Nothobranchius furzeri: one gene and its partners. The main gene of each other region encodes a partner of the protein of the gene in region 4 in a complex. Links are inferred from orthologs where the notes say so. Each region holds a gene or a part of one and is shown on either strand. Other genes may lie near its edges. The genes, in order: bcas2, rnf113a, rbm22, cdc40 and snrnp40.

Region 1 (6,079 bases), on a different chromosome or scaffold from region 4:
GGATTCTTCTGTTGTAGGGAATGTGGAAGTGCTTAATAAATAAAAGATCATTTACACTTTCTGGTTTAAGATGATATTAACCACAGTTTAAATGCTCTGAAACAGGTGTTTGAATCTTATCTAATATCCAGACATATTTGTGTTTCTATATATTTTTATGGTCTTTTTTTTCTTAAATGTGTAAATACAGTCACAATTTAGTGTGAACTTTTATTTGTTGGCAAAAGCTCAGCTCACATAATCTTAATGTGCATCTTTATGCATACAATGACTGGCAAACTTTTCCATAAATATCTTGCAGGATAAAACAATGATGTGATTTGGGCCTTTTTGTTTTGGCTTTGCAACTGGCTGCTGAAAAGTACTCCACCAAAATGAAACAGATCTTTGTAAAGTAATTTATGTGGAAAAAAATCCCTGATTCATATTATTGATTAGTTTTAATGTGTTTTCTGGAAAAGACCAGGCACTCAGAGGGTTAAAAGTGTATAAGGAGCCATTATTTATGTACCTAAACAATCCTAATTTAATGTTTTCTTCCTCCCTTTCAGCTATCCCAACTTGCCCTTGTTTTCATAAAAAATGGCAAAACCCCAGTAATTACCTAGTTGGGGGTGGGGGTGTGGTAGAGGCAAACAAACCCACACCATAACAGATAAATGACAGGTGTTGCCAGTGTTTTTAATATTGTAACGTAGATAAGGCCTGCTTCGTCAGTGTGCCACCCATGACAACCAGGGGTGTCATGACACCAGGAACAGGCGATAGTGAAATATCTCCTGACTTATCGGGCCTACAAAGTCAAGGTCTCCTCACAGGAGAAAAGACTTTTATCTAACTCCCTTTTAATAAAAATATATTATTCTGGCTCATAAAATTGTTTACTTAACAGGTTAAGTATAATTAATGTTTAATCTGAAGTGATATAATATGACTGTTTTACAGTGATGAATAAATCAACATAAAGGTTTATTATTTCATGACCTTAACTCATTTATAATTTGTTCTGCATTATCATAGTAGTAGAAATACAGTATTAAATAGATTTTTAAAAACTAGATTTTTGCCTGTGTCAAAGTATTATAAAGTGTTAGTTCCCTGGCAAACCCAAATTACCTGGTTTTATCATCAAATATTATAGTTGGATTATTTTATAATCCATATCTAGTATTACATTTTATTGAGTACCTTTACATTCTATTGACAATTTATTAAAAGTAACTACTTACAAAAGTTACAATATTCAGTGTCTACTTAAAATGATCAGAGGGGTTGTCCTGGACTTTTTACATCACTAATGAGTAAACAAAGGAACAAATATTCCCTATTGCCCTCATCTCCAAACGAGGGCAAAGATAACTGATCATGTCTGTTCTCTGGTCAAACTGAGAAACCCAGTTGAGCTTAAAAATATCAAATAAACGTGTTACAAAAAACAAAGACAGATGACAATGGAAGTTATTATAAAAGCTCATTTTGTTACAAACAGCATTTTAGAAAATAATAAATGTAAGTTAATGTGGAGTCCTTTCATTTTGGCTTCAAATCTGACAAATTATTTACAATTCTAAAAACTTTGTTGAAAGGCAACTTAAAAAACAGCTAGATTTATGAGGCTTATGTGTAGTAACTATTGGAACTACTGCCAGGGTATCAGTAGCACAAACATAAAACTTAGGACTGAAAACTCAGCTGTGTCTGAAATGACAAAATTGCAAAACAAAACAAACACTAAAGCGCTGCAAACAGAAAATAAAACTATTACAGGTGTGTTTGCGTTTTCAGCCTGAAATAAGATGAGATCGGAATCTACAGTTTTGCTTAGAGCAAACACGATTCTGATAAAAGTTCATTTTAAACATTCCAACAATGTTTTTAGTGGAAAATCCTAAACATGTGGTTGATTTAAAGATCTGTAGAAAATGTGTCTGATTGAGGGAACGTTAGTTTTGAGTTTGCGTGATTCTTCAGAAGTCCTGACAGATGTTCTCCTTGTTCTCGTCTCCCTGCTGTTGCCGGAGCTGACCTACTTCATTCTCCAGCTGGACTATGGCTCTCTCGATCTCGTAGTTTTTACTGACCAGAGACACCCAACTGTCAAACAAAAACACAGATGTTAAGACATCTGGAAACAACGTGTTCTCTCCACACAGTGACATGGAAGTTGTTCAGAAGACACACTTAGACTCCAGCTCGCGTAGTTTGGCCCCCGCTGCCAGCTGATCATTCTTACGCTGCCAGTTCAAATCTTGAATTTGCTTCCTGTCAACCAAAGTAATTGTTAAGCTTCTAAATATGAATTCTCAAAGCCCTTTAAATTAGCAAACAATGTCCAGGCATCGCAATTCACCTGAATTTGTGGAGTTCCTTTTGAGCCATCTCAATCAGAAAAGCCAGATTACTGTGGAAGGAGAACAAAAAAAATAATTAACAGTCTTCAAATAAAACAATGGTACTATTTCTGAAAAATAAAAGCTGCCATAACTCACTCATTGTAGACTTTCCATGCATTTGTTCCATACTGTGACATGAGCTCCAGGTTCTCAATGCGAACTGCTTGGTGCTCCAGCTGGGCCATGGAGTTGTTCACACACTCTTGCCACGCTGTAATGTCATTCTTCTGTCCTGAAGTTGGAGCTGGCAGCTCGTATCTTCACAGGCAGGAAGATATTAGAACATAATGTCCATATTTATTAAAATACTGAGCAAATGATTTGCAAAGCAAACATATATCTTGCAAGGCAACTACCACCAGAGCAGTTTTTACCTTTTCATGCTCAAAAGATCCATAGGCGAACGTGCCGCTAACCGCTCAAATTCGTTTCTCATAATTTCTGTCTGGAAGGGTGAAAACAAAGTGCAGTAAGTTCTGTGTCAAAGTCTGAAAGTCCATAAGAAGACCTCACATTTCTAATTAGATTCTTACCTCAAAAGCAGAGAAGTCAGGTGTAGGTAGGTAGCTCAGGTAGTTCTTCGTAGGTCTGTACCTTCTTGTCTCCTCCTCAACCAATGCAGCTGCCTAAGGGATCAAACAGGGTTTATGTTTGGTTCTGCAGCTTTAAAACCAACTTTCTCATTACTATTCTACGGCAATGCCCTGTCAAGCTTAATTCGCTATTTTGTAATAACAAAGGATGACAAATATTAAATACATAAATAAACTAATATATGAAGACTAAATCTGATTTTAGGTTTACAAGGAGCAAGAAGTACAAAAAGAAGTTATAAAACATCCACATAAAAGCTCCAAAGATGCCTAAAATGGTACTTGTCTATGACGTTGTTTACATCCTTATTTACTAAACGCAAATACAGATAACCATTTGATCACTGTTCACAAGGTTTAATGTGGCATTATCAACTATACAATTCAACAAGTTCACAGTTTGAATCTGAAAGATTCTAGGTGTTAAAATCTCAAATTATGCATCTTTTCCCGTGCCAAACTCAAAGGATAATTAGTCACATTAGAACCCAAATAAACCAAATTTAAAGAAAGGAAACATGTCATAAAATGTCTCTGCGACCTATTATGCAAATATATAAAATTTATATTCGTTTCATGTTGTTTTAACAAAATTCGTGCATTTGTTGAGATTCTTTGGTTTCTTCGTCTAGCAGTCTATTACGCACTAATAAACACTAACCAGCTATATATAAAAATAAACGCGTTAGTTTGGTCTATACAAGTAATATTAATTTAACAGTTAAAAGGCCATCGACTTTAAGGATTAATGAAAGTTTCCATGTAGCGTGTTGGCTAACACGCTTCTGATAGCAAACATTTTTTATTTCACTCACCGCCTCTCTGACACCTGGCGCATCATAACCTTGGTCGAAATACGGCAAAGCATCAACAAACACTTCACCCGCTACTGAAGCTGTCCCGGCCATTTTAATGAGTCTATTTACTGATTAATTTGTTGATTTATTTCTTCCTCGGCGGCTAGTAGCTAACTGAACCCAAGTTCTTTTTCCGGTGAAGAGTTTCAAAATAAAATGTCCTACATTTTTTTCCGTGCTCATACATAATGCTTACGGTTCCGTGTTCGATAGGAATGTGACGAAGGCAGTGCGTGATGAAGATGCACATCGAAGATGCGCATAAAAATACAGTTGAACTCCAACTGTGACCTGTTTTCCCTCTACCCTAATTTTTAGTAAATTTTCCTTGAAACCTTATGTACAAGACCCCATATAAAACTGTGCAAACGTTTTAAACCACCCATAATTTCTTCAAAACACGATTCCAAGACGCAACATTTCCTTGTAATATTTTAATATAGACTTAGTTTTAGAGGCTCCAAGAAGGTTCTTTTAAATGCGCGCGCGCGCGCGTGTGTTTAACGAGCATTAACGTAATTTCCCATTTTCTGTTTTGTCACCTGACTATGACAGCATTGGACCATTTTTTTAATGTAGAAAAGTGGATTGGTAGAAGACACAATTGAAGAATTTGGATCACTGACCCTGCCACCACCACAAGCCATATGTGTGCTCCATTTTTTAAATCAAAATCACATTGGCACCAGATAATATCTCATCCACACCAGATAGTTTCTCAGAAATTATCTGATGCAGACTGATACTATCTGGAGTACATGAGATCTGATGCTCATATGAATCTCTAGCCTGGACAGCCATGCCAATGTGTAGAATAGAAAGGGGGTAAGTCTGGCTGGTGTGCACAAAATACCAGCCTTTTTACCCACTTCAAATGCAAGAAATACATTCCAACAAAAATCAGAGATTTTTAAAAAAAGTATTCAATTGATTGATTGACTGAAAACTTGAGAAACCCATCCTCTTTCATTTGATCATCTCCACAGGTTATCTGAACGATGTTTTTTTTTTTAATTTTTTGGGGGGGATGATTTAATTAATTAAATAAAACATTTGGTTAGTATTCTTTAAAAGAAATATCAGTAACCCTATGATGAAACCTAAAATTAACTACTTTTGGGCTTTTAAGAGGAGATCCTTTCAGTATAGATGAGCTCTCGAACACTCACAAATTGATAAGTTGGCCATGAGTTAAAGCTGCTTTAGTGAATCTACAGTACAAGCTAGGTTTAGAGCGCAAACACCATCACAAAACACGCACCCTCTTCCCTTGTTTACCTTCCCCGAGATACTTCTACTGGAAATGGACACCTGCGTTGCCAGAGTAATTAAACCGTCAGTCACCATAAGTCTAGACATCTTTTGTTGTCAGCAACTTCAAATGGCATTTTTCTTTTTGAGACTTTCATATTTTGTTCTAAAGTTGAAGTGGTAGCAGCCAGCTGTTCCTCCTCTGATATTATTGAGCTGAGCACCTCTCCCACCAGTGTTCTGTTGCAAAATATGTGAGTGCGTAAAAAATGGAGGATCCAAAGAAGTGTGGTGGTTCAGCAAGACCGACAACCAGATGGCCCAATAGTTGCTTTTCAGAACAAAACATGTTTTGGGTAGAGCTTTTTAGAAAAATGCGAAAGAACGACTTAATTTTTCTTGTTTTTTTTAAATCTCCACAGTATATTCATAACTATACTAGAACTCTTAACAGGCATGAACATTGTAAGCCAATTAGTTTTCCAAATTTGTTATAGCAACTTTAAATTCGTCATGGCCATGTATTAAGTTGTGGCCAAGCATTTTGTGGCCAGTCATGGCCTCGAGATATATTTATTCCCTCTAAAATACATCCTCAGGTCTCAGATGTCAAACTTCAGACCATGGGAAATAAGTCCCAGGTTTCAGGAGAAACTGCTTCAGGGGAAAAAAGAGCTTTGACAATTCTGACTGGAATAGCTCCTCGGATGAGAAGCGAAACATCTTCAAGAAACCAAAGAAGTCCAGTTGCCTTAATTTGAAGTATTTTGGATGTTGGTTGTAAATTAAAATGGCTATTTAGTATAGAACATGTCCCATAATAAATAAGTTGGTATTTTTTGCTCATTTTCTTATTTAATAATTTGTGGAAGAGTTATAAACTCTGCTTTATTCAGCCAAAGTCAGATACTCCTTTCATCATCACTGTCAGAGGACATCTTGAAGCAGTATCTGAAAAAGAATTTAGGAAAAACAATCACAAAAT
Region 2 (6,007 bases), on a different chromosome or scaffold from region 4:
AGGTCAACTCGCAAGGCATTCATTTTTACTAGAGACCACTGCAGGTGTGTAAGAAAAGTGAGTGAACTTGGTCTTAACCAGTTCAAAGCAAAGTTCAGAAAATAAATCTTGTAACTTTTTTGTGTTTTCGGCAGCAGAGTAAATCCGATCTGGACATGAAAATATTCCTCATGATCACATTTCAAGTTCAAACATTGAATATGGACAACAGGGCTAAAATATAAGCTGCAAGTCTGACTGACAATGTTTGACTTTTTAGATCAAACGCAGACCGTCAGAGGCTCTACCCGAGCTGCTGCAACCCGTGTCGCCCATCACCTGCTTTGAGAGCACCCAGCCTCTGGACTCGGTTTCTGGACTGGCGAGTCTGGAGTCGGGTTTCAGCCAACTGGAAGTAGATGACTGGGACTTCTGAGAGTAGAGGACTTTGCGGGAAAGACGAGCTCAAGATTGTACTGAGCGACTGTGCAGAGGATGGGATTTTACGAATCTTAGTTGTTCTCAGAGGTTAAAAGTGAAGTCATCTACCCTCTTGTTGGTGACTCACTTCACTTTTGTTCTCTTTGCGGATTCTTGCTCTGCACTGGTTTATCTCACACAGGTATTTACACGGATTGTACTCTACACACACCCACGAACCAAAAGGACAACTCTTGAGTTTTCTAAAGGTAGATGTAGCCCAAACCATAAAGGTCAGGAGACGGATCAATGAAATGCTGCTACGTAATATTACCAGGAGACGCTCCACCGTTTGTGTTAACACGATTTGGTCCGTCTGCTCCAGGAGACGACCATAAGGGCACCTAGCAGTCCTCTCTGAGGACTGACAGCATTTCTTAGCTCCGGTCTGCTACAGCAGATGCATCGTCTCACGGTTCAGACTCTTTTGTTGCACAGGTTGTAATTATTAGTTTAGCATTAAGAGCGTAAAAGTTAGCCTTTTCTTCGGCTCTCTGGGTGTTACTGACGTCAGATGTAAATGTTTTCTTGGTGCTGGTTTTGTCTGCATGTATATTTGAAAGTTTGGACAAAGCAACGTGTTACAAATGTAAAACTTTTACTACAAACCCAGGCCTGCTTCAGTGTTTCAACATGATTGTACAAAAGGAACCGAGGCCATGAACTTTATTAGAAATGTACACAGACAAACACAGAGAGGGTTCTAAAGCGTGTTCTAATCTTCTTCGTCTGACGGTGGCTGGTCGGCTAAAGCGTTGCGTTTCTCCATCTTGGCAATCAGCTCTAGAATAAATGACAATAAAACATCAAGTGTGACTGTTTACTTTGGTTTCTGCTCCTCTTGGATGTTTTTGAGCAAATGCATTTACCTTTAGCGGGGTTGAAGACACCATTGGTCTGAGTGTTGCACACGTAGCAGCGCTTTGACTTGCGATAATGCTGAAGAGCACAGCTCTCACAAAAATAGTGCTTACACCTAAGGAAACAGCGATTACCAGCCGGTAATAAACAAGGACTGAAGGAGAGAAACCATCGCAGTACTTACTTTGTGATGATGGGATTTTTAAAAGATTCTCTGCAGATGAAGCACTTGAAGGGCAAGTCTTCATCATCACTGCTCACCTCATAGTTCTCGTCATCTAGATGAAAACACATCAGAAACTTAGTCTAGCCAGCAAAAGAGAAGATTTCAAGTTCGATTATTTACTCACCATTTGCTCCATATCTCCCTTCCTCCAGTTCCCTCTCAATCTGCCAGCCGTGTTTGTAGTCCGACCTGTCATGGAGGAACTTGCAGCTGTCTAATGGCAACGGATGCAATCATGATTAATAAACAAAACCTTTGACTTCACAGTAGGAACGTTTTAAGAGTTCAGATTGTTTTCACCAACCCCCAAATCCACAGAAACCCGTCTCCTTGTAGTCTTTGCAAATATCCGGTTGGTAGTCCCACCGGACTGTAGCTCTCAGGTGTTCAGGAGCTCGAATCGGTCCTTTTCTGTAGCACAGATTGAACGTAACCTTCAGCATCTATAGGTGAACAACATCTTCTGACTGCATGTGAATATCTCTTGCCTCACCTGACCATGCCTGAAGAGGCATTGCCCATGGTGGTGTCTTTAGGCTTGATGAATTTTTGGTAGTTATTGATGCCACGGTATATTTTATCATCTTCTTTACCTGTTAGCTCCTAATGAGACAGAGGAGGGAAAGCTCAAATGACGAAGGTGAGATTTTGATTATTTCTCATTTTATATTAACCAATAGCGGCATGTCCTACCTCTTGGATTTTCTGACTCCTCTCAAAAATAGCTTGAGCATCCTTGTCTCTCTCTGTGTCCAGCTGATAAGTGGCAGTTGCACCCATGTCTTCAGGCCCCTCGGGTTTCTTTTTATGAAGGCAAGGTACAGTAGAAAGTTTTAAAGTAAATAAAAACAACTGTTCAGGGCACATAGTCATGTGTACGTGGATGAGAATGGTCTGTAGATTGTAAAATAATGTTAAAATTTGCTTTTCTGGTGAAGTTTCAGCCCCTGTATGTTTTGTCTCAACAGCCAGGTTGAGCCATGATGGAAAAAAGATCAGTGTTTGACTTGTACTGTCTGGCTCTGACATTTTTGAATGAATGCAGTCTGAACTCACCGCTGATCGGGAAGACTTGTAAGCAACCGTTATCTTTTTGTCTCCCTTTTCCTCCTCGCTTTCACTAGAAGACACAGCGTCCCTCTCCACTTTTTTTGTCTGAACAAAGAATACATAGATCATTCACGTTGCTGCTTCATAACTAAGTATCTATTAGCTTGCCTGCTCTACCTTTTGAATCATGGGGTTGACTCGAGCATCCTTCTTTTCTTTTCTGACCACAGCAGTCTGTTCAGTGTCACTATCGCCATCTAAAACAAACAAACAAACACACACGCGCACACACACACACACACAATTGGTGTAAACAAACATTACAAAATCTATTACAATTAAACTAGGTTACTTCCCCTCTTTGTTTAAATGTAGCTTTCAGGTGATAAACCATAATGTTTTTGGTCCTGTTTATTATGGAGGATAATATAAACAAACTGTTTGGGTCGCGGTTTTGATCTCCCTGATGAGAAGCCGCTATCAATTCTATCCAGAGGACAGACAACGCTAGTTAGGAGAAAATTACAAGGAAATGTATCTAAATGATAGTTTACTACCTTTATCGCTGTCACTTGCTTTTCGTTTTCTTCCGGAGAATTTCTTGGTGGATTTTTTAAACAAAAACGTACAAGTAGCTGCTTTTGGTTTGTCTGGGTCCGCCATGTTTTTGTTGGTGTAAGAACAGTGGCTGCCAGAGCAGTAGCGCCCCCTGTTGTTCTGGAGGCGAAACGTGACGCGCTCCTTCTGCCAAAATGAGATTCACAACCGTCCATAAATCAAAGTCAACGCGGCTCTGGCTAGAATGGTAAACCTAAAATATTATGTTAGAACGGACGAGGGCCAATGAAAACAAAAGAAAAATACAATAAAAAAATGAACAGAAAGATAATTCTGACTTTAATCTCAGAATTTTCAGATTTAAATCATTATTCTTTGTTTTCAGTGGCCTTAATCCTCTTCCGTAGTACTTGAAATAATTTTTAAAAGGTAATTTTAGTTTTAAACAGAAAAATAATTAACGCATTTTGATTGGACACTAAATGTATAAACGATTAATAAACAAAATACACAAAAATAGCCATTAGAAATGTCGTTGATAAAAAGAAGAAACGATCTTTTACAAGACCGCTCAAGATAATAATCATGAGCAGGCGCTTCACAAGAACAACAACAACAACAACAACCATAACAACAAAAAACAAAAAAAGAAAGAAAAATAAATAAAAACGAATGACATAAATTTGTAAGAAAATTTTATGTTTAACTGCTTTTTGTCTAAATAATCTTTTGACGTAACTGATGCCAACACAATCTGTCTATAAGTGATTAAATGTATTGTTTATGTCAACTTGATAACAAGAACTCAATTAGTTTCTGGCTTTCGAGAGTAGGGTTTTTTCCAACCTCTGGCGGTCAGAGGCGGTTACTACAGTGTTCACATAAAGTTGAACAACACATAACCAATTAGCACTTCCTATAAATCCTTTCAAAATAAAAGAAATAACAAGAGGTCAGAAGGTCTGCAGTTATATAAACTACACAACCGATGAAGCTTAATAAATGTATCATAATTATCTGTGTTAAACAAGATTAAATTAACGCGCTAAAACAAAAACTATTAGCAGCATTACAAACACATCAGATCATACGCCCTCTGGTGGCCTATTGTCCCTCTGCTGTAGACTCAGAGGAACATCAAGTAATTCTTTTTGATTGTGAAATTTAACTAACAAGTTTGTAATTTCTTCTCAAACATTTCAGATATAAAACAATTTAGGCCACTATCAGGTGTCTGCCCTGGGATTGGGAGATCGGGTTTGAATACCGGTCTAGTCATACCAAAGACTTTAACAAGGAACCCAATCCCCCCCCCTGCTTAACACTCAGCTTTAAAGGGTTGCATTAGGGGGTTAAACAACCAAATTACTGAGCGCAGCCACTGCAGCAGCTCCCTGCTCTCCATCGGGATGTGTCAGATGTGGAGATGAATTTCACCAGTGTGATGATGACTATGGGACTTTAACTTTATTATTTGAACACACACACACACACACACACACACACACACACACACACACACACACACACACACACACACACACACACACACACACACACACACACACACACACACACACAAATGTTTGAGGTCATTTTTGTTTTAAACCGGAAAATAATGCGTTTTAATTGGACAATAAATGTAGCTATAAACTACTGAAATAAAAATAAAACATAAAACACTAAACAAAATACAGTAAAACTATAACCATTAACCAATAAAACATAGTTCTGAATCTCAAATAAACACTTCTACTTGTAATTGTTCATTTGGCGGGGCTATACGAAGTCTATGAAGGCATAAAATGAATCTATTCTTCGATATTACCATATAGAATGCAAACCGAAATATCAGAAATGAAAGCATTGCTGGTTTCTAACAGTTTTATTAAAAACCGATAGGAATTTTGGTTTTATTTTGAAACGCTTAACCGGAAACAGCTTGTTATCACGCACAACCTGACGCTGATACCTCCGGTCGTCCTGCAGCAGCAGCGGCGGCATCCTTGGCGTCCTGCGGAGGACAGCGGGTGGTGGTAGGACGCAGGACCGGTGGAGGGGGCGGTCCTGGCCTGGGCACGGATCCCGAAGAGGCCCCGGGGCCGCCGCCGCTTAATGGAGTCGGGCTGCATTCAGACAGCAATGGCTATGGGTTTGACATCGAAGAAGGCGTCTGCTCGGAGCGTCGCCGTGGAAAGAAAAAACCTCATCACGGTCTGCAGGTATTCATCACGACCTCATTCCTGTTTCAGCGGGTCCTGACCAACGTGGGTCGGGTTTTCTTTACTGTAAAGAATATAAATTATACACGGTGATGTACGCCTATTTTAGAAGTGAAGGTGAGACAGGTGCGTTTCACCTTCACATACCTCTTCCACCAGGAAGTGAAAAAACACTTATTGTGACCATCACCTGAAATAAGACTTCACTTTGCTGAAACACTGATTTAAACATTTATTTACAACCAAAGATCTGATCTGAAGGGTTATTTCAGCTTCAGAATAAAAGGGTGTCACTGCACATGTTTGCATCCGGTGGGGGCAGAAGACGTCATCAGCCTAAAGCAGGTTTTCTCTCTAAGCACTGAGGGTCTGACTGCCAGGGACAAAAGCATTGAGAGCTGCAAGGACTCCTCCTGACATCCCTGGGCCTCCTTTCATCCTGCCTGCTGAGTGCAGACTGGACATAGCTCCAAAGGGCTTCTGTCCTCTTGCCAGAAAGGTTGCAGCTATAAAATATCTGATCTGAGAGAACAGTCGGAGTAACTCGCTCAACTCAACCAGTTTTGCAGGTGAAGTCACTTTTAATTCTTCATTTGCCTCATATTTATTCTAAAATATGCACACTAGTAGT
Region 3 (5,934 bases), on a different chromosome or scaffold from region 4:
CTAATGACTATTTAGAAAATTAATCTAATGATTATTTTTCTATTGCACAATTAACAAAAACCAGAAAATCTCAAATAAATTCCTCAAAAAAATTGATAAATTCTTACTGTAAGAGAATAAACACTACAGGCCTTCCATTTTGTATAACACTGCTTTTATTGTGTTGCGGTTGGTTATGTTCTGGTGACGTGTAGAACTTGGGAGTGCAGGCTGCTGCCTGAGAGGTGGTAGAAGATGGAGTGTCTCCATGCTGCTTTGTTTTGGTCACTTATGTGCGTGAGGCGAGTGGTCTTACGGGTTAAACCAAACTCAGGTGATATTTTACACTAAACCGAAAACCCACAACACTCTAAATGTAATAAAAGGGAGATCTACACCACAAAAAAGATGAACTCTAAACCAAAACGTAACAGCTTATCCCAACGCAAGAAGCTGTTAGCGAAGATGCTAACAGTAGCTTTACCAACATTAAGTTCAAGTTACCAAGTTTAAATAAACCAAAAACACCCAGCAGCAAACAGACCAGCACGGAGGAGAGACTGCTACCACCAAAACAGCTCTCCTAATGTCTGAAAGAAGCTCCTTAATGAAGGGAGAAGCGCTCCCGGTGATTTTCTACATCTGCGATAGACACGAAGCAGCGCATCTGACCCCGGAAGTTGTTGTCCGTTGCCGGGAGACGAAGGGGCAAAACAGGAAAATAATCTAGTAGTGGACGGACGTTGTTCCGGGTCTTCGGTATTTGGCGGAGATGTTAGTGAAGGCGGAGAAGAGGGCGAACTAGAGGAAAAACAGGCAGATTCCTCCTCTATTTACAAACTCCTGGGGATGCAACAAGTGGGCGCGGTGCGTCGACTTCCGGATCTGACGTCGACAAATTTTTAGAATCGAGCCGTCGACTTCGTCGAGGCTTCGCTACAGCCCTATTGACACTAGTCAGTGACTTGATGCAATTTGCTGGGCTCCTTATGTGAGAAACTTTTTACTGATTGGCTTAATGAACTGACCTGGATTGGAATGTTTACTATGTGAAGTGCCTTGAGACGACTCTTGTCGTGATTTGACGATATATAAATAAACTTGAATTGAATGACCATCCACTTACATTGTTTATGCTAAGCTAAAGCTAACGTAATACTGCCAGGTTAGAAGTATTTGTTTACAAAATGCATTTTCCCACCCATCCAACTCTGGGGAATATGGTAACAGACTGACTTTCACAAAGGGATGGAATATCCCTTTAAGAGAAGATATGCACCACGTTATTTTAAACACTAATCCAACATGGAAGAAGATCAACAAATCCATCTACCAGCTGATTAAGCAGAAAAACAGATCCTGTGATGTTACCTCTCTCTCCATGTTCTGTGTGTAGTACTCTTTATTCACGTCTGACCTGGGAATCTCGTCTTTTACAGACACCCCCGTGTCTCGAACCTGGATGGGCAAACCTGTCAACAACAAGATGAAACAAGGGATTCATTTCATACAACTTTTTTTCATAAGTTATATGATAAGAGTGCAGAGCATGGGTCACAAGAGGAAGTGGGTTAGGGAGACCCACCATACTCCAGGTCCAGCAGACACGTCTGACAAACGTTCTTCATTTTACTGCAGGTCTGACAGACTTCTGTCTTCTTGAAACGCATCCGTGTGCCCGGGCACCACCTGAACACCGTAAAGGGTCGAGCACAGATCTGACAGGGAAAAAGAGTAGCAACTTAGTAACAGCATTAAAGGAAACAGTGGCTTATTTCAAACAGCATAAACATAAAATGCAGCACAAACCTTGCATTCTTTCCCATATTTTTCCTTGGTCTGTTAAAAAACAAGGACATGTTTACACCTGAATGCCTAAAAGTACAAACAGTAAACTACATCCGGAATAAATTATGACACAGGAGAGCACACTTACCATTCGTATGTATGGATTTTCTCCTAAACATGTCTGACACAGAATTGGAAAATCCTGGGAAAATAAAAGATGTTCATTCAGCAAACTAAGCACAACCTTGTGGAACAGTTTCTTATCCCAAATATCTGAAGCAGAAAGTGCTCTGCCTGGGTATCTTGGTTCATTTACATGTGTGAAAACAAGAATGCAGTGGGAAGACATGTCCTCCATTTACACATCTGTTAAAGGATGCTGTTTCAGTCTAATGTGAGCTGCTGAACATGACCAGGATTTAATCCATCCTTCTGACAGCTTCGGCCAAAAATCTAAATATAAACAGCTCTTGTAGCTTTAACATCGACTACTTAAGGCTACAGACTTTACAATCGGATGTTTCAAGAAAACCAATTTTTGTTACACACTGTTGTCCAGTATCTCAAAAAAGGCATCTAATGTATTCCCTTATTTAGTAGGGCTGCTTGCCGTAAACATTGCTGTTGAAATAGTAAAAAATTCATATTAATAACTAAACAGTGTACTTTACAAAGCATAACTTGACCAATTATCCAGAAACAAGACTTACAAATGGTAAAAGCAGGTTCTGATTAACCATTGAATAACTGTGTATATCTTGATGATTTTGTGGATGTGCCAACTTTTACGGTCCGAAATATTACCATGACGCCGATTATAAGTAAAAAACGAGTATGTGCTTATCTAGTAGCTAAATGACTATTGCTATATTTATGTTAGAGCTGTTAGGTATTGGTCTAATTTCTCGTATACTCGCATAAAAAATAAACCGTCATTTTAAAGATATAACAGTAACATTTTACCTAACTACATTCAGGCTACAATGTTAGCCTACTAGCTTGAGTGGCTAACTTTAGCATATTTCGTGTTAACGTAACGGAATAAAATTGGCTTAAAGCCACATCTGAGTGATCGCCACTTACTATATACAGCTTGTTCTGAGATTTTAGTTGGACAAAAATACATGCATATAAATATTTCTGTTCATATTAGATGCTAAACAAAATAGCAGCCACGTTGCTACATATAGCTAACGTTAGCTAGCGGAAGGCTAACTATATACTAAGCAAACTGGGCAGATTTGAAAAACAGCATTAGACAGAGTGTGGTTACTGGTAAATATTTCAATCAGTCGCTCATTTATGTGAATATTATGATCGTAGATTAACGTACCGCGTCCTCCCAATTCTGTCTATTGTAGGTGTTAGATCCCAGGGAAGTCGCCATTTTGCAGAATGTGAGCCAAACACCGACAGAGGTCCACCCACAAAGCCTCGCGTCGCCTTTGGATGTCGCCCTATTTCAAGAAACTATCGTCTTAATTTCACTTCTGAAAATGCCGGTTATAAAATATGTTTTGGCGTTTATCGGTCAGTCAGTAAAACGATTGTACCAACCTGCAGTACAGGAGCCACAACAACGTGCAACGTTAGCTTATTTTTAAAATCTCGCGTGAAAAACATGAGCAAGACAAAGCAGAGAGAATGAGCTGCTGTGCATGAAAGTACATGCACGATTTATTGTACAATAGAAAGTTTTAAGCCACCGCGCCAGTTTAAAATAACTTTATTCCATCCTCTTTTACTGCCACACGAATATAGCCCAGTTTAGGGTCTAGCCACATGGGAGAGCCAATTCACTCTTAAACATTTAAAAATAATGTTTCATTATTTAAAATTGCCCGGTGTGAGTCAAAATATAAGTAACAATTTTCAGAGCAGTGATTACACAGTTATTTAGTTAAATGTACTGAATTAGATACAGGCCTAATCCTTTTCTAATGCTTTGCCTTTAGCTAAACCAAAAGAAGAAAATACACGCTCCAGCATATGCCTCCTGTGTGTGTGTGTGTGTGTGTGTGTGTGTGTGTGTGTGTGTGTGTGTGTGTGTGTGTGTGTGTGTGTGTGTGTGTGTGTGTGTGTGTGTGTGTGTGTGTGTGTGTGTGTGTGTGTGTGTGTGTGTGTGTTGTGCTTTACTCTGCTAGAATATCTGTGGCTCGACTGATAACATTTCCCATTTAAAATTTCCCATTACAGTAAAATGCAGTGTTGTTATTAAATAGACTGTCAGGAACTGACACTAAGCATTTTTTTATTTTTATTAGATAAGCGTGTACTTTTATCAAAACTTAATAAATTATTCATTTGCTTTCTATACCTCTTTGCATTTGAGTGACAGAGAAAAGGGAGAAACAGACTGATTGGCAAACGCTTCAGAGCCGTCTAAGCCTATTGCGCTGACCACTTATAGTTTAGCCATCCACCTGGTTCGAACCTGGTTGGGGTGTCTTTGTTGTGTGAAACTCTGATTAGTGTGGCCAAAGGATGCTGAAGATAATGGCTGGGGACTAAATCCTGAATGTTTATTTAAGTGCAGAGTGAGGTTGTGGTCACAGGGCAGAGATCAGATATGGGTCTGGAGAGCTCGGGGACGCTCCCCTTTTGGTGACTCCATAGATAAAAACATCAATACTGAACCAACTTTAAGTACAAATCTGTCACTTGCCCTGTGGTCATAATGGAAATTTCCACTGGCCCTCTACCTCTTGCATCCCTCCTTATCTGGGCGAACAGTCGGGATTTTCACCTTATTATTTGTAGGACACCAGAGTAAACCCTCTGAGAATCCCTAATGAGTCATGTGACCTCTCATGTGACATATGGATGAGATGACCAAAGCCGTTTTGAAAGGATTTGACTTGGATTACACTGCTCTGTAATCAAAATCTTTTGAGTCACAAGGTCAGATATGTACGCGTTCAACTATATGTCAGATGCTCATTGTTCCAGAGCTCTGGAGTCCTGTTAGATTTGATAAATACACTCATTTGAATGAGCCAGAGTCTAAAACTAACATCATGATGGAGTTATAGCTGTTTTGAGCAAATCTTCAATAACATGATCTCACACAGTGTTGCAAGATCTCTTGTAATGGGTTAGCACTCAAGAGTGCTGTGAATTCCTCTCAGCATGACAGTGTGGCTCAATATCTATAATAAAGTGTTGCAGCCATTTTTGTGTTTGCTGTGAATCCGTTGTGACCCAAACAGGGTAACAGATCTTCAGGGGTTCCCTAGTGACAGTGCCTCTACCCCGGAAAATTACTACCATATTTGACGGCTTTATTACCCAACGAGGATCCATGATGATTTCAAATCTTAGAATAACAAAGTACAGGAAACAGTTGACACAACATTTCCTCTGCCCCTGGCATTGGCGGGGGGGGGGGGGGGGGGGGGGGGGGGGGGGCATGGCACTTAACATTTAACAGGTCAATCCTCAGCATGCACTGAAATGCACCCCTGCACAATGCTAACTCCACAATAAAACATTGGTATATCTCAAGGTGAATCATAGTAACGGTTAAGGGTGAATAATCTAAAGATTTGTCTTAGTGAGATCATGCAAGGTGAGAAAATGTTCAACTACAGGAATCAGAGCTTGGGGGTTGGACCTGTACGGTTTGAGAATTAGGCTGTCTTTTAACATCCTGGTGACAGCTGCTTTTCAGGGGTGCTGATTTAGATTTCAGGAGTGCTCAGCCACCCTGAAAAACAGCCTAATCCCATCCCTGAAACCTGTGATTACTTATTAAGATTCCAGTGGCTCATCTCACAGAAACATTAATGGTTACATTTTTGGCAAAGATGTCATGAGATTGTGGAACACTCGTGTTGTAAATGATTATAAGCTAATACTACACCACAGTTTAGTGTGGAAACAAGTGAATTAAAGCAATTGTTAAGTGGGGATAGCTATGATTAGCTGTGGAACCTATTCTGATTTGAATTGATCTAGAAAATGAATCAGTTTAAGATTTGAATGAAGAGTCATAGATTTGTTTTTTAATCAAAATCCATCTAGTGGCTCCGGTGGTGGCTCACTAGACAGTTTTCCAACAAACACACAGGCACGTGTTCAGCCATTTAAAAGCGGTAGACGCCGAAGAACGATGCCGAACTGGTTACAATTTTAGTTGTTACACCTGTGCTTTGTTTAATTAGCAGG
Region 4 (5,805 bases):
GAATAAAGTCAGATTTCTGAGAAAAAATAAATCAGAATTCTGAGAATAAATCAGAATTCTGAGAAAATAAAGTTGAATTCTGAGAAAATAAATCAGAATTCTGAGAAAATAATCTGAATTCTGAGAAAAACAAGTCAGAATTCTGAGACAAAAGTCAGAATTCTGAGGAAAAAAATCTGATTTCTGAGCTAAGCAAGTCAGAATTCCTAGAATAAAGTCAGAATTCTGAGGAAAAAAAATCAGAATTCTGAGGAAAAAGTCAGAATTCTAAGAAGAAAAAAATCAGATTTCTGAGAAAAAAATCTGATTTCTGAGATAAACAATTCAGAATTCTGAGAATAAAGTCAGATTTCTGAGAAAAAATAAATCAGAATTCTGAGAATAAAGTCAGAATTCTGAGAAAATAAATCAGAATTCTGAGTAAATACATCAGAATTCTGAGAAAAACTAGTCAGAATTCTGAGACAAAAGTCAGAATTCTGAGAAAATAAATCAGAAATCTGAGAAAATAAATCAGAATTCTGAGAAAATAAATCAGAATTCTGAGAATAAAGTCAGATTTCTGAGAAAAAATAAATCAGAATTCTGAGAATAAAGTCAGAATTCTGAGAAAATAAATCAGAATTCTGAGGGAAAAGTCAGAATTCTGAGAATAAAGTAAAAATTTTGAGGAAAAAAAATTCTGAATTCTGAGGAAAAAGTCAGAATTCTGAGAATAAAGTAAGAATTTTGAGAAAAAAAATATCTGAATTCTGAGGGAAAAGTCAGAATTCTGAGAATAAAGTAAGAATTTTGAGAAAAAAATTATCTGAATTCTGAGGAAAAAGTCAGAATTCTGAGAAGAAAAAAAATCTGAATTCTGAGAAAAAAATCAGATTCCTGAGAAAAATCATCTGATTTCTGAGATAAACAAGTCAGAATTCTGAGAATAAAGTCAGAAGTCTGAGAAAAAGAAATCACAATTCTGAGACAAAAAAATCTGAATTCTGAGGAAAAACGAGTTCGAGTTCTGAGAATAAAGTCAGAATTCTGAGAATAAAGTCAGAATTCTGAGAAAAATAAATCAGATTTCTGAGAAAAATAAATCTGAATTCTGAGATTAAAGTCTAATTTCTGAGAAGAACAAGTAAGAATTCTAAGACAAAAGTCAGAATTCTCTTTTTCTTATTATTTTCCCAGTGGCCCTAATCCTATTCCGTAACTACCTACAATTGTCAATTGAAATATAAAAAAGCCAAATTACCATGGAGAATGGTCTTCTCCTCTGAAGGAGCCTCTTCTTCATTTCTTCCTCTCTTTTGTCTTTTGGCTGTGATCTCATCAAGCTCTTTCTTCTCTTCCTGTGCAGTAAAACACAAATTATGAGAAAATTTACCAGCAATGATCAGATTTTATTTAATTAACATGGCGAGCTGAGCAAACGGAAATATGTTTCATCTTGAGTGGATGCCTGATTATGAAGCCTGAGGATGTTGCGTAGGCGAGTGTGATCACATAGCCAGGATTAAGCATCAGCCTCCACAGTGTTTGATCGACTTGACAAAATTACGTCAAAATATTACAGAATATTTACTAATGCAGCACCTGAAAAAGCACATACTGTGTTTCTGAAAGTGTATATACAATAGGTCAGCGATGAGAGCTTTTAAAAGAGAAATGTTAAAAAATAAACTCTTTAGTTGGATGATTTATTTTAGAGGTCCAGAAAACATTTATTAAATCTTAATGTGATGCTTGTAGGACCTGTTCAATACTGATCCTTGCAATATTAAAGAACATTAACTTTTAAACAAGCCAATTATGTAGAGAAGCAGCCAGAGAATGTTATACAGAAAACATTACCTCTGTTGGTTTAGCCACATCTTTCTCATCCACATATTTCGCCCACGGTCCAAGAAAGCCATCAATCTCTCCTGCATCACCACCTTTAACCTTCTTCCTTTTCTCTGACTTTTTCTGACCACTTTCAAACACAGTCATCCCTGGAGGAAAAGTGGTTTAACTTGTTGCTTGGGCATGTCATAACATATAATCTGATGAAGATGTGCATTAAAAAAGTGTCAAAAATATTTGTTTACCTTTATTTTTCTCAGCCTCATCCACTGCACCAATGTAGCTAACAGAGGATACTTGGTGTGTGTCAACGGAAGGATCTAAAGCGTAACCTTTGAGCAGAAAATAAAACAGAGTCAGTGAAATCACTGCAAACTCTTTAAAAAGCTACGAATTATCTTACCAAATGAAGAGAAGGTCCTCCTCTGCTGTTCAAACATAAAATCGCTGACGTGAGCAGGTTCTGCATAGCCAGATAACATGTTTCTGGGAGCTGCCATCTGCTGCGTCCTATGAGGGTTCTGCGGTCCCAACTAAGAGGAAGCAGGATAAAACAATCATTCGCTGTGAGGAGGATAAACTTATTTATGCACTTAAGCACTGATTGATGCATTGCTACCCAACAAGGTTTAAATTGTGACCAGCATTCAGATTTAAATATTTAAGTACAGATTTAAGAATACAAGAATTACAGGATGGACTAAAGCTTGTTTGAAGTGGTGTAGTGGGAGTAACTGGGACAAACAAAATCAATGCATCTGTGCCTTACAATAGTTAAAGGATAGCTGAAAAAAATCAATGTCCAGATGGAAAGGAAAATTTCAAAAAGAAGAAACGTATAACTACAAAATCCCAAATACGAGTGAATTTGACAATCATCAAAATGAATACAAAATGGACAAAGTAGTCTTTAAGCACCTTGCGATGATAACTCTTTATTACAAAGCTCAGTTTCAGAAGGTTAAAAAGGGTTATTGCAAAAATGCTAAGATAATAAACACGAACTATTGAACTACGCACAAAATTACATGATCAGTTTCTCTAACTTACCTCTGGAGCAAACATGGTTTCATATGTTGGGTTGTAAGTAACTTCTTTGAGAAAAGGATCCAAGTGAATACCAGTCTCCACAGACTCCTAACATGAAAATAGAAATATGTGCTCAGGTAAAGGGATATTCCAAACCTATGAATTAACTATAATGCGAATAACTTGTGCCATACATCAGCCTAAATAGGCCAATTTAAATACACAAAGAAAACACCAGCGTGAAACTGTTACATGTAGGTTCAGACCGATATCTAATTCTATGGCTAAAATTAAGTGTATACTAGAAACAAAGTTCATAACTAGCTCAACTTCTACGTAGAGCTAACGTCATTTAGCTTACTTCTCTTAGCTTACCTTCACGGCGACCTCCGGGGCTGAATTCAGAACAGCTAGAGATGTTTTGTAACCAGGCTGCAAAGGTTTAAGGTGTGTCGTAGCGTCCGGTTCCACCGGGGCAACTTTCTCGGTACCAGGCTTTGATTCAGACTCATTTTCTGAGTCGGAATCGCTACCGTACGAAGCGAGGGAAGCTATAGCGGCAGACATGTTGAATGTTGTGAAGTCGCCGGAAGCAGGAGGGCGGGACTTCCGCTAAAGAAAAAGAAAGACATATTATATTATATTATATTATATTATATTATATTATATTATATTATATTATATTATATTATATTATATTATATTATATTATATTATATTATATTATATAAAATGAATAAGTCCTGAATCTTCAGTAAACAATGCACACCCTCCGAAAACCCATAAGATGCTCAGTAAACTGCTTTGAAAGTACAAGAAAAACTTCTCATTAAAGGTACTGCAGGAATAACTTAAGACACTTTGTATCCAGCATATACAACTTCCCAAAATATGCATTTATGTTTTTTTTTTACATATTTTGCTTTGTAAGAGCGACAAATCAGGGTTAAAAATACCTTGTGATTGACTAACTGAACTCAACTAAAACTATAAACTGTCACGAAAAAGCTATTTTTTTCTACTGTTCAATATTTTATTCTGAAGGAACGTGTTTTATTACTGTAATTTAGGTGAATAAATTCTAAATTTTCATTATAATCCATTGGACAACACATTATGACGGTTTGGATTTCTGTCCAATGCTGCGGGTGCACGCGCTGTCCGCGAGCCTCCCACGAGCACACTATGGCAAGCCAAAACCGTCACAATACGCCACTTTCCCAACCCGTCTAGTTAAGAAATGGCGAAAAAAACGCCGTTTGACGTGCCAAGACGTCGTAAAATACGGCGAAAACTCTGCCAGAACGCCGTAATTTACGCCGTTCTGAACGGTCCCGGACATTGAACGCCGCTTTTTTCGCCGTCCTGTGACATAAAACGCCGCTTTTAACGCCACTTTGTGACAGTTTTAACGCGTTTAAAATTCAACTTTACTCTCATTTATGCAGAGCCCTCCCCATGGGTTTCTCATCCACTTAATTTAAACTCCAGTGACCCAATGAAAGACGAGGAGGTTGAGGCAGCACTAATTCATCCCAGATTCGCCGGGCTGTCGGGCTGTGCGGATTGCTGTTTTCTAATACAACTCGGCTCTGTTTCAACTAATTTCACTGTATTGAAAAAGCCTTGAAATGTAGTAATATTATCAACAATGTGTCAACATTATTATTTTTTCTGTCCACCTGTAAAAGGCAGAAACGCTGTTTCAGTCAGACCTGATGATTACTTAAAAGTGTGGCTGCCGTATCAGTCTGTCCTCGTGGCTCGTGAGTCCAGCTGAAACATCAGTGCTCTTTCTGTCCAAAACTCCATTCTTCTTAAGTTCATCCACTTTCAGTATTTACTATTGTGACAGTGTGTGTGTGTGTGTGTGTGTGTGTGTGTGTGTGTGTGTGTGTGTGTGTGTGTGTGTGTGTGTGTGTGTGTGTGTGTGTGTGTGTGTGTGTGTGTGTGTGTGTGTGTGTGTGTGTGCTGTCGCAACATCCCGATTGATGATGTGCCCTGGCTACTTGGCCAAGCAAATGTTCCTTTGGCTGACTGGTTAGAGCGTATAACTTTTACCCGGGAGTCTGGGGATCGAATCCCGTCCGAGTCCTCGTTTATCCACCTGGCCACACTATTGTTTTTTTTTTTTTTTTTTTTTTTTAACGACTGTTATACTTGTCTTACAGGAGCTTCTGAAGATGTTCTGTCTTGCTTCTCCATCATCACTCTCCAGCTCCTCAGACCAGCCACTCCAGAACCTTCCCAGATCCAGGATCAGAGCACTTTAATTAAAGTTTGAAACATGTCTGCTTGTTGTTCTCCTATAGAAGCCTTAAACTAGAATTTGCTAATGAGCTTTCTTGGCTAAAATATGCTCTTAAATGTTTTTATTTACATAATCAAGAAACACGTTTTTCATTGCTGCTTCACCAAGACATGACTGAAAATGTCCTCATGATCCTGAAACGCTGGTTAAAACAAATTACTTTTAACCTCTTATAAAACAAACGTGTCTGTTGATGATTATGCCCACTACAATACTGAAGCACCTGCATACTTGCTACCGATTTGCTAACTTTCTGTAATATTTGATATTTAAGTTGAAAACATGAACTGCTGTAACACAAATTCCAAATGTTCTAGTTGAGCACTTGTTTCTAATCAACTAATCATTATTTCTGTGATTAGTCAGCTTTTTCCTTTTCAATAAACACATGGAAAAATTACAATTATCTTACTGAAAAATGGTTTAACAGTGTTGCACATGTATAATAATCTGCACTGGTTTTCACAGTTATGGCATTCTTCAAGTGAAAAGATATTTACAATTGATTACTTCAAGTTCCTACTATTTACATTTTATGCATCGATACTGTAAATGGCTGTTTACTAAGGCATACAAAGTCAGTGCCTGTACACAGGTAGTTTGCTTGTAAATCTACATATTTCTGTTCTATA
Region 5 (6,091 bases), on a different chromosome or scaffold from region 4:
ATAGATAAACCGCTCCATTCTCCCAAAGATGAACCACAGAAAGCCATTCATGCCCCGTTTTATCCGTCCTCGTCTGATCCGAGGCAGAAACGGTGGGAAAAAGAGCCGAACGGAAAATTATGAACATATTTTGGAAAAAATACGACAAAAACATACGTACTATGATCTTTTCAGCGTAGATTTAAAAAAAAATCTTTCACATTGCAAGAAGGAAAAAAAAAGCTCCAACTTAAACAACAAGGCATTTTGAGAACCACTAACCACATCGCCCCTCAGGAGCGATAAAAACTTTATAGGAAAAGTTTACCAATTTAGTTTTATTATCGGTATTTAACCAGAAAATAGTTCAGATCTCCGACTCTGGAAAACTGGATCGGAGTCCACTAAACTAAAAAGACCTTTTCACCCAAATGTTTCTGTTTTACAGGGTATCTGCAGGTTTAAGGGAGCCAAATTTAAGACTTTTTAAGACCTTTTTTAAGGCCACTTTGACCAAATTTATGCTATTTTTTAAAATTAAATTTCAGTTATAATTTCCAGCTATTGCCTGGAACCGGTGCTAACCACGTCATGAACGTGGGATTAACCATCCAGTTACCATTAATGTTGCACCTCCCCATGGCGCAAGCTCCCACTAACATGCTCCTCTAAAAACAGCCCCCTTTCACAACCAACCGTATCTGTACAGTTCCGCTTACGCCAACATCATACACAAAAAATCCTGAGCTAACTAGAAATTCACCAAAATTTTATAGAAATAAAATAATCTTGTTTATTGGGTCTTTGGTAATTTAAGACCTTTGGAAACTGTATTTAAGGATTATTTGTCATTTTTAAGGATTTTTAAGGCCTTAAATTTGGAAAAGCAAATTTAAGACTTTTTAAGACTTTTTAAGGACCCGCGGATACCCTGGTTTTAGGAGTCAAAGGAGTCATTTTTGTGGGGCATTTTCCGCCATATTGCTTGAAAAGCTCCTGCTGGTGCTGGCAACCGATTCATTTCCTGTGAAGGACTTGAGACATGTGCAGGGTGTCCCCTGACTGCTGGACCTGACACCAGCTCCCTGCTCCCCTACTGAGGAATCGGTGCTTCAGATAAAAAAAATAAACTCTTTTATAGAATAATGACATTTATTCAAAAGAAATATGTAAAAAACACAAGTTTAGTCTTAACTAAAGCTTGAGAGACAGGCAGACCCCGCCCCACACACACCCACACACACACACACACACACACCTTATTGGATTTCACCCATGTACAGACGTTTATCACTGGAGCCAGACAGCACTGCAAAGACACAGAAAAGAATAAATGAGTGACTTTTTCTTGTGTTTGGTTCCGGTTCCTGTTCTGTCGCTCACCTATGGGCTCCTCTGGGTGAAACACCACCTCGTTAACAGAACCGGCGTGGCCCGGCAGCTTGTAGAGGATCCTGCGAGACGTGGTGTCCCAGATGTACACAAATCTGTAGCAGACGCACAGAGCGGGGAACAAAAGTGGCTCTCAGTGCCTTATCTTTACTCCGTTTGGGTTTAAAAAGTCACCAAAGCGTTTCTCACCGATCGGCTGATCCTGCGGCTACTTTACTGCCATCAGTGGACCAGGAGCACCTCAGCAAGTTCTGAATAAACAGGAAAAGAGGACATGAGAAGAACACAGACCCGGAGCTTTCACAGCTAAAAAGCGGTTTTCTTTAGTCCAGATATGTACGACTTCTCAGATTGACCTAGAAGTGAATTGTTCATTTGTCTGCTAGTGAAGATTACCTTTTCAAAGTTGTGAACATTACCCTGGAAAATCTTCACGCACCTCTCCTTGGGTGCAAACGGCCGCACGTCCCAAATTCGCACTGCAAAGACACGCGAGACTCTTTGAGGGATGCGATTCAAGCACAGATGAGCAGGATCAGAAGCCGAGCATACCAGTGTTGTCCATGGAGTTCGACAGAAGGTATGACCCCTCGGAGCTCAGGCTGAGCCCGGTTACAGAGTCCCCGTGTCCATGCATGTTGTAGATCAGCTTGTTCTGTCGCAGATCCCACACCTGAGCAACACAAAGCTTTCAGATCAACGACCAGGAGAGAATTTTAGGCTGGAGCCGATTTGTTGCCTTCGACATTTCACATTTTTGCAACAATCAACAAAAAATAAACTTGCGTTTGGAGTTGAAGCAAACAAAAATGTAAACAACCAAGGGCTGACAATAAATCTCACTGAACATCTTCAGTCAATCAACTTTAAAATGGCTGAAACAGAGCATCACTGCAACCATCTGCTGTTGTTAAAGGGATTAAAATGTTTAGTCTGACTTTCTTCAAGATAAACAGTTTAATGAGTCCCTTTAAGAAAAACTGTTTTTTTAACCTTGATGTCGTTGTCGATGCCTCCAGACAGGATCTGATCACTGGTGTCGTTAAACGTCACGGCCAGAACCTGGTAGGTGTTCTGAAAGGTGTGGATGGCTCCTTTTTTGCGGATGTCCCACAGCTAGAAAACAAAAAACATCAGGCTAAACAAAACGTGCAACAATGTAGGTGTGTGTGAACGGTGTGTGTTGGACCTCATTTTCACAGCAAAACACCCAGAAAACAGCCTGACCTTGATCGTCCCGTCGTCGCTTCCTGTACAGACCAGCTGAGGACCTCGGCGAGCTGGATAGCAGGTGTTAACAAAGGAGGTGTGTCCCTTCAGACGTTTGACCCTCTCACCTGTCTCGCTGTCCCACACGCCAACAGTCTTGTCCGTGCTGGCTGAAAACAACAAGCTGAACCACACAGACACCTCTGTATCACACTTCTGACTCAAGTTCCGCAATAATCCACCAGATATTAGTTGATCATATTCCACCGTCTCTACCTGCCATCTGTGTTATAATGCAGCTCCATCACCGCTCCGCTGTGACCCTTCAGGGTGGCGTAATTCTCACAGTCTCCATACACGTTCCACAACACTGCAGCATGGTAACAGAGATTTTAAAGCGGTTTTAACAAACATATGTCTGCTACTGTTTGACACAAACTTACATATGAGTCTGTCGAATCCTGAAGAGGCCAACACAGCTCCATTGGGGTGAAACTTGCAGCAGTAGACCTCCCCCTCATGGCCAGACATCAACATGATGGGAGCCTGCATGCTGGAGGTGCGTGGATGGCCCTATGGGGATCAGTGATTTAGGTTTGCAGCATTATGGTGCAGAAACAACAAGTGGTACTTTACTTTAAATGCATACGAGCTGGATGACTTGCTGAGATCTAGCAAAGAGAGTGAAGTAAATGCTCCCTTTAATCATGTAGGAGCTGGAAGTAGATCCTAATTGCACCAGTGGCAATTACAATCTGGTGTTTCCTTAAGCTTGCATTATGATAAAAGGTGATATCTGTGTATATATATTTTACCTTTGATGCACAAGTGAACTCTGATCATCTTGACAGTTTATTTATTTATTATATATGCTTTGTTATTTGAATCAAATATTAAAAAGGAAGGCTGTTTTAATAATAAATATTGTTACCAATAAAATACATAATTACAATAACCAACACGCTCTTGAAAATAGTTTTTTTGCATATTGAATTCTATTGTCAACTATTCTGATGTTTACATTAATCATGAAAACGTGACTAAATCTGCTTACATGGTCCGGTTAATGAATACATAAGTCCCCGGCTAGCATAGCTTGCCCTTTTCTCAAACTTAAAAACATAACTACTATAAAGGTGGTAAGTATGATTTAATCTTGAATGTAAACGCAGTCGGATGTCACCAGGGCTACGTTACCGTGGCCACGAGCTGCTGAGACTGAGCCGCCGCTACTAGCTCCATCCGTGGCCGCTTCAGCGCAGTGGGAACCATCGCCATGTCTCCGGGTCTCTTTAGAGGTTCAATCATTGCGGGGAAAGTTAACAAAAAGCGGCTAAATAGAGTAAATGCAAAGCTAAAACTTAGTAAAATTAACGGACGTCTTCGACGAAAGACGTCTGAGGAAACAAAACCACCAAAGAAGACAGACACTGAAGTACTTCCGGGTTCAAAGCTCGTGATTGGTGGAAATTTGCGCAGGCTGCAGTGATTGGCTGATTTTCTTCCTGGCGTCAATTTGACCTGGAAGTATAACTAGCACAGTTTAGTCGGTGGAAAAGGTATTGCAATTATTTTTATTTCTTAAGAGTTAGAGTCACATTACGCAAAATATATTAATTATAGCACAATTGTCTGGTTTACTAATGTATCATAGAGCAGTTTAACAGGAATAGGTTAGAGGGTTTTATGTAAACACCAATGCTCGTGTTGCGTTTATCCTGTTCATGTTTCCAGAGATATTGTCTCCTATAGTTTTTACTCCGCTCGAATTAATGTAATGGAAAGTGAAGTTTGAGGTAAGATAAATCCATGTTTTGAAAATTAAAACTGATTTACAATATTAATAATTCTATTTGTTCGTTTTTGAGATTAGCCTAGTTTCTTTAAATCTGACAGCTGCAATTTTTGTCTGTGTTCTTTGTTTTTATTTATTTTTTTGTGTTTGGTTCTCAGTCTGTTTCACATGTATGGAGTGTTAGAAAATATGCAGTTACCGTTTAAATAAAATTTAGACCATGGCTGGTCTTTTTAGTCTAGTTTTAATATTATTAAACTGGGTTATTTGAGCTTAATTCTTAATGAAAACGAAGAAAAAACATTTTAATTGAAGGATAACTTCAACTGAACTTGATTTATTGCCTACTCCTGACTTGTGAAAACATAATAGTTGTCGTAGAAAGTAGTTTTATGGATTTTTATTTAATAATTTTTATTCACAATATAAATACTTAAATTTATTCTGTTACTTTGTAAAAGGAACAATATTGCTTTTATTTTGGGTTTCTTTAACTTTTCCTCGTCTTTCGTCTTTTATCTGTGTTGTGTTATTGAATTGAAATATATTTAATCCTCCAACTGTTTGCCCAGATTGAGACGATGTCCAACCGTGACCGCTCGAGTCGAGAACCAGCCGGGCTGGATGGTCTGCCTCCGATGTACAGCATCGCCAAGGGAGAGGTGGTTTCAGTGCAAACATATGGAGCTTTTGTTCGACTGCCTGGTTACAGGAAGGAAGGTTGGTAGAAGGCTGAGAGCTTGTAATCTTTAAAAATGAAATACCAGTATTAGTAATATTAACCAGCTGAGTGAAGTGAGTCCTTTAAAGCAGTAATGGATCTGTAAAAAGAAAAATAGGAGATATTAGATGACTACAGCTAACTTTATATTTTTTATTTAAAAAAAACGTTTTCATTTAATACCATATATTATAATTTTAGTAGCAGATGCAGCACTGGGAAGCATCAACGGCTAAAATAGGAAGAAGTTTGTCCCAAACTTTTTATACTTCATTATCTCTGATGATAAATTCTAATTTTAGTGGTTGCCCTAAAATATTTTGCCACTAGATGGAAAAAAGATAAAAGGTTTGGGTTCTAATTTGAGTATTTATTATCAAAATATAGGTGCTTTTTATGTATTATTCAGGTCTTAATATTAAGTTAAATTAAATTTAAGGAAATGTTTAGATCTCAGATCATCTAAACAAGAATCTATTTGTGTTTCAGGTCATTTTGGCTCAACTGTTTTTGTCTGAAATCCATTGAGGCACACTAAAAATCCTCTCTCTTTCTTTGCTCTCTCTCTCTCTCTCTCTCTCACACACACACACACACACACACACACACACACACACACACAGGTTTGGTACATGTGAGCGAGATGTCTGCCTCTAGGGTTGAAAGTGCCTCAGAGATTGTGGATGTTGGGGAACAGGTGTGGATTAAAGTCATCGGACGGGAGGTAACGCGCACACACACACACACACACACGCGCACACACACACACACACATGCTTACTTTGAATCTGCAGCAAATAAAAATTCTGCCCTCTGACTCTCAGATTCAGGGTGAGAAGGTGAAGTTGTCCTTCTCAATGAAAGCTGTCAATCAAGGGACAGGGAGGGACCTGGACCCCAACAATGTTCAAGCGGAGTGAGTGTCTACATTTGTGTATGAGTGTGTGTTTTTAACAGACCTGTTATAGTCGTGTGTGTGTGTGTGTGTGTGTGTG

What was found.
Region 1: cdc40 (region 4) and bcas2 share a complex: the UniProt entries of both Homo sapiens proteins name them as parts of the postcatalytic spliceosome P complex. The link is inferred for Nothobranchius furzeri from reciprocal best matches to the Homo sapiens genes CDC40 and BCAS2.
Region 2: cdc40 (region 4) and rnf113a share a complex: the UniProt entries of both Homo sapiens proteins name them as parts of the pre-catalytic and catalytic spliceosome complex. The link is inferred for Nothobranchius furzeri from reciprocal best matches to the Homo sapiens genes CDC40 and RNF113A.
Region 3: cdc40 (region 4) and rbm22 share a complex: the UniProt entries of both Homo sapiens proteins name them as parts of the postcatalytic spliceosome P complex. The link is inferred for Nothobranchius furzeri from reciprocal best matches to the Homo sapiens genes CDC40 and RBM22.
Region 5: cdc40 (region 4) and snrnp40 share a complex: the UniProt entries of both Homo sapiens proteins name them as parts of the postcatalytic spliceosome P complex. The link is inferred for Nothobranchius furzeri from reciprocal best matches to the Homo sapiens genes CDC40 and SNRNP40.

The regions. Positions count from the first base shown.
Region 1 is NC_091755.1:51,936,960-51,943,038, reverse strand, and holds bcas2 (pre-mRNA-splicing factor SPF27), read right to left. Parts: upstream 4,006-6,079; 5' UTR 3,895-4,005; coding exon 3,802-3,894; intron 3,020-3,801; coding exon 2,927-3,019; intron 2,839-2,926; coding exon 2,768-2,838; intron 2,652-2,767; coding exon 2,490-2,651; intron 2,402-2,489; coding exon 2,351-2,401; intron 2,263-2,350; coding exon 2,182-2,262; intron 2,095-2,181; coding exon 1,968-2,094; 3' UTR 1,459-1,967; downstream 1-1,458. UniProt on the Homo sapiens protein: Required for pre-mRNA splicing as component of the activated spliceosome. Component of the PRP19-CDC5L complex that forms an integral part of the spliceosome and is required for activating pre-mRNA splicing.
Region 2 is NC_091745.1:10,006,975-10,012,981, reverse strand, and holds rnf113a (E3 ubiquitin-protein ligase RNF113A), read right to left. Parts: upstream 3,314-6,007; 5' UTR 3,260-3,313; coding exon 3,154-3,259; intron 2,854-3,153; coding exon 2,774-2,853; intron 2,702-2,773; coding exon 2,603-2,701; intron 2,348-2,602; coding exon 2,240-2,347; intron 2,150-2,239; coding exon 2,040-2,149; intron 1,958-2,039; coding exon 1,851-1,957; intron 1,761-1,850; coding exon 1,671-1,760; intron 1,599-1,670; coding exon 1,505-1,598; intron 1,436-1,504; coding exon 1,329-1,435; intron 1,243-1,328; coding exon 1,175-1,242; 3' UTR 1,111-1,174; downstream 1-1,110. Other genes in the region: strada (STE20-related kinase adapter protein alpha), read left to right, coding at 260-415; rundc3aa (RUN domain-containing protein 3A), read left to right, coding at 5,270-5,376. UniProt on the Homo sapiens protein: Required for pre-mRNA splicing as component of the spliceosome. As a component of the minor spliceosome, involved in the splicing of U12-type introns in pre-mRNAs. E3 ubiquitin-protein ligase that catalyzes the transfer of ubiquitin onto target proteins.
Region 3 is NC_091741.1:95,933,206-95,939,139, forward strand, and holds the start of rbm22 (pre-mRNA-splicing factor RBM22), read right to left. Parts: upstream 3,382-5,934; 5' UTR 3,325-3,381; intron 3,225-3,324; 5' UTR 3,155-3,224; coding exon 3,101-3,154; intron 1,970-3,100; coding exon 1,916-1,969; intron 1,819-1,915; coding exon 1,789-1,818; intron 1,698-1,788; coding exon 1,565-1,697; intron 1,452-1,564; coding exon 1,351-1,451; intron 1-1,350. UniProt on the Homo sapiens protein: Required for pre-mRNA splicing as component of the activated spliceosome. Involved in the first step of pre-mRNA splicing.
Region 4 is NC_091742.1:5,491,160-5,496,964, reverse strand, and holds the start of cdc40 (pre-mRNA-processing factor 17), read right to left. Parts: upstream 3,464-5,805; 5' UTR 3,430-3,463; coding exon 3,238-3,429; intron 2,971-3,237; coding exon 2,884-2,970; intron 2,367-2,883; coding exon 2,237-2,366; intron 2,166-2,236; coding exon 2,079-2,165; intron 1,983-2,078; coding exon 1,843-1,982; intron 1,341-1,842; coding exon 1,244-1,340; intron 1-1,243. UniProt on the Homo sapiens protein: Required for pre-mRNA splicing as component of the activated spliceosome. Plays an important role in embryonic brain development; this function does not require proline isomerization.
Region 5 is NC_091759.1:20,972,398-20,978,488, reverse strand, and holds snrnp40 (U5 small nuclear ribonucleoprotein 40 kDa protein), read right to left. Parts: upstream 4,022-6,091; 5' UTR 3,889-4,021; coding exon 3,778-3,888; intron 3,154-3,777; coding exon 3,024-3,153; intron 2,951-3,023; coding exon 2,857-2,950; intron 2,765-2,856; coding exon 2,599-2,764; intron 2,488-2,598; coding exon 2,365-2,487; intron 2,045-2,364; coding exon 1,924-2,044; intron 1,851-1,923; coding exon 1,768-1,850; intron 1,623-1,767; coding exon 1,561-1,622; intron 1,467-1,560; coding exon 1,363-1,466; intron 1,289-1,362; coding exon 1,239-1,288; 3' UTR 1,113-1,238; downstream 1-1,112. Other genes in the region: zcchc17 (zinc finger CCHC domain-containing protein 17), read left to right, coding at 4,957-5,095, 5,720-5,820, 5,921-6,012. UniProt on the Homo sapiens protein: Required for pre-mRNA splicing as component of the activated spliceosome. Component of the U5 small nuclear ribonucleoprotein (snRNP) complex and the U4/U6-U5 tri-snRNP complex, building blocks of the spliceosome.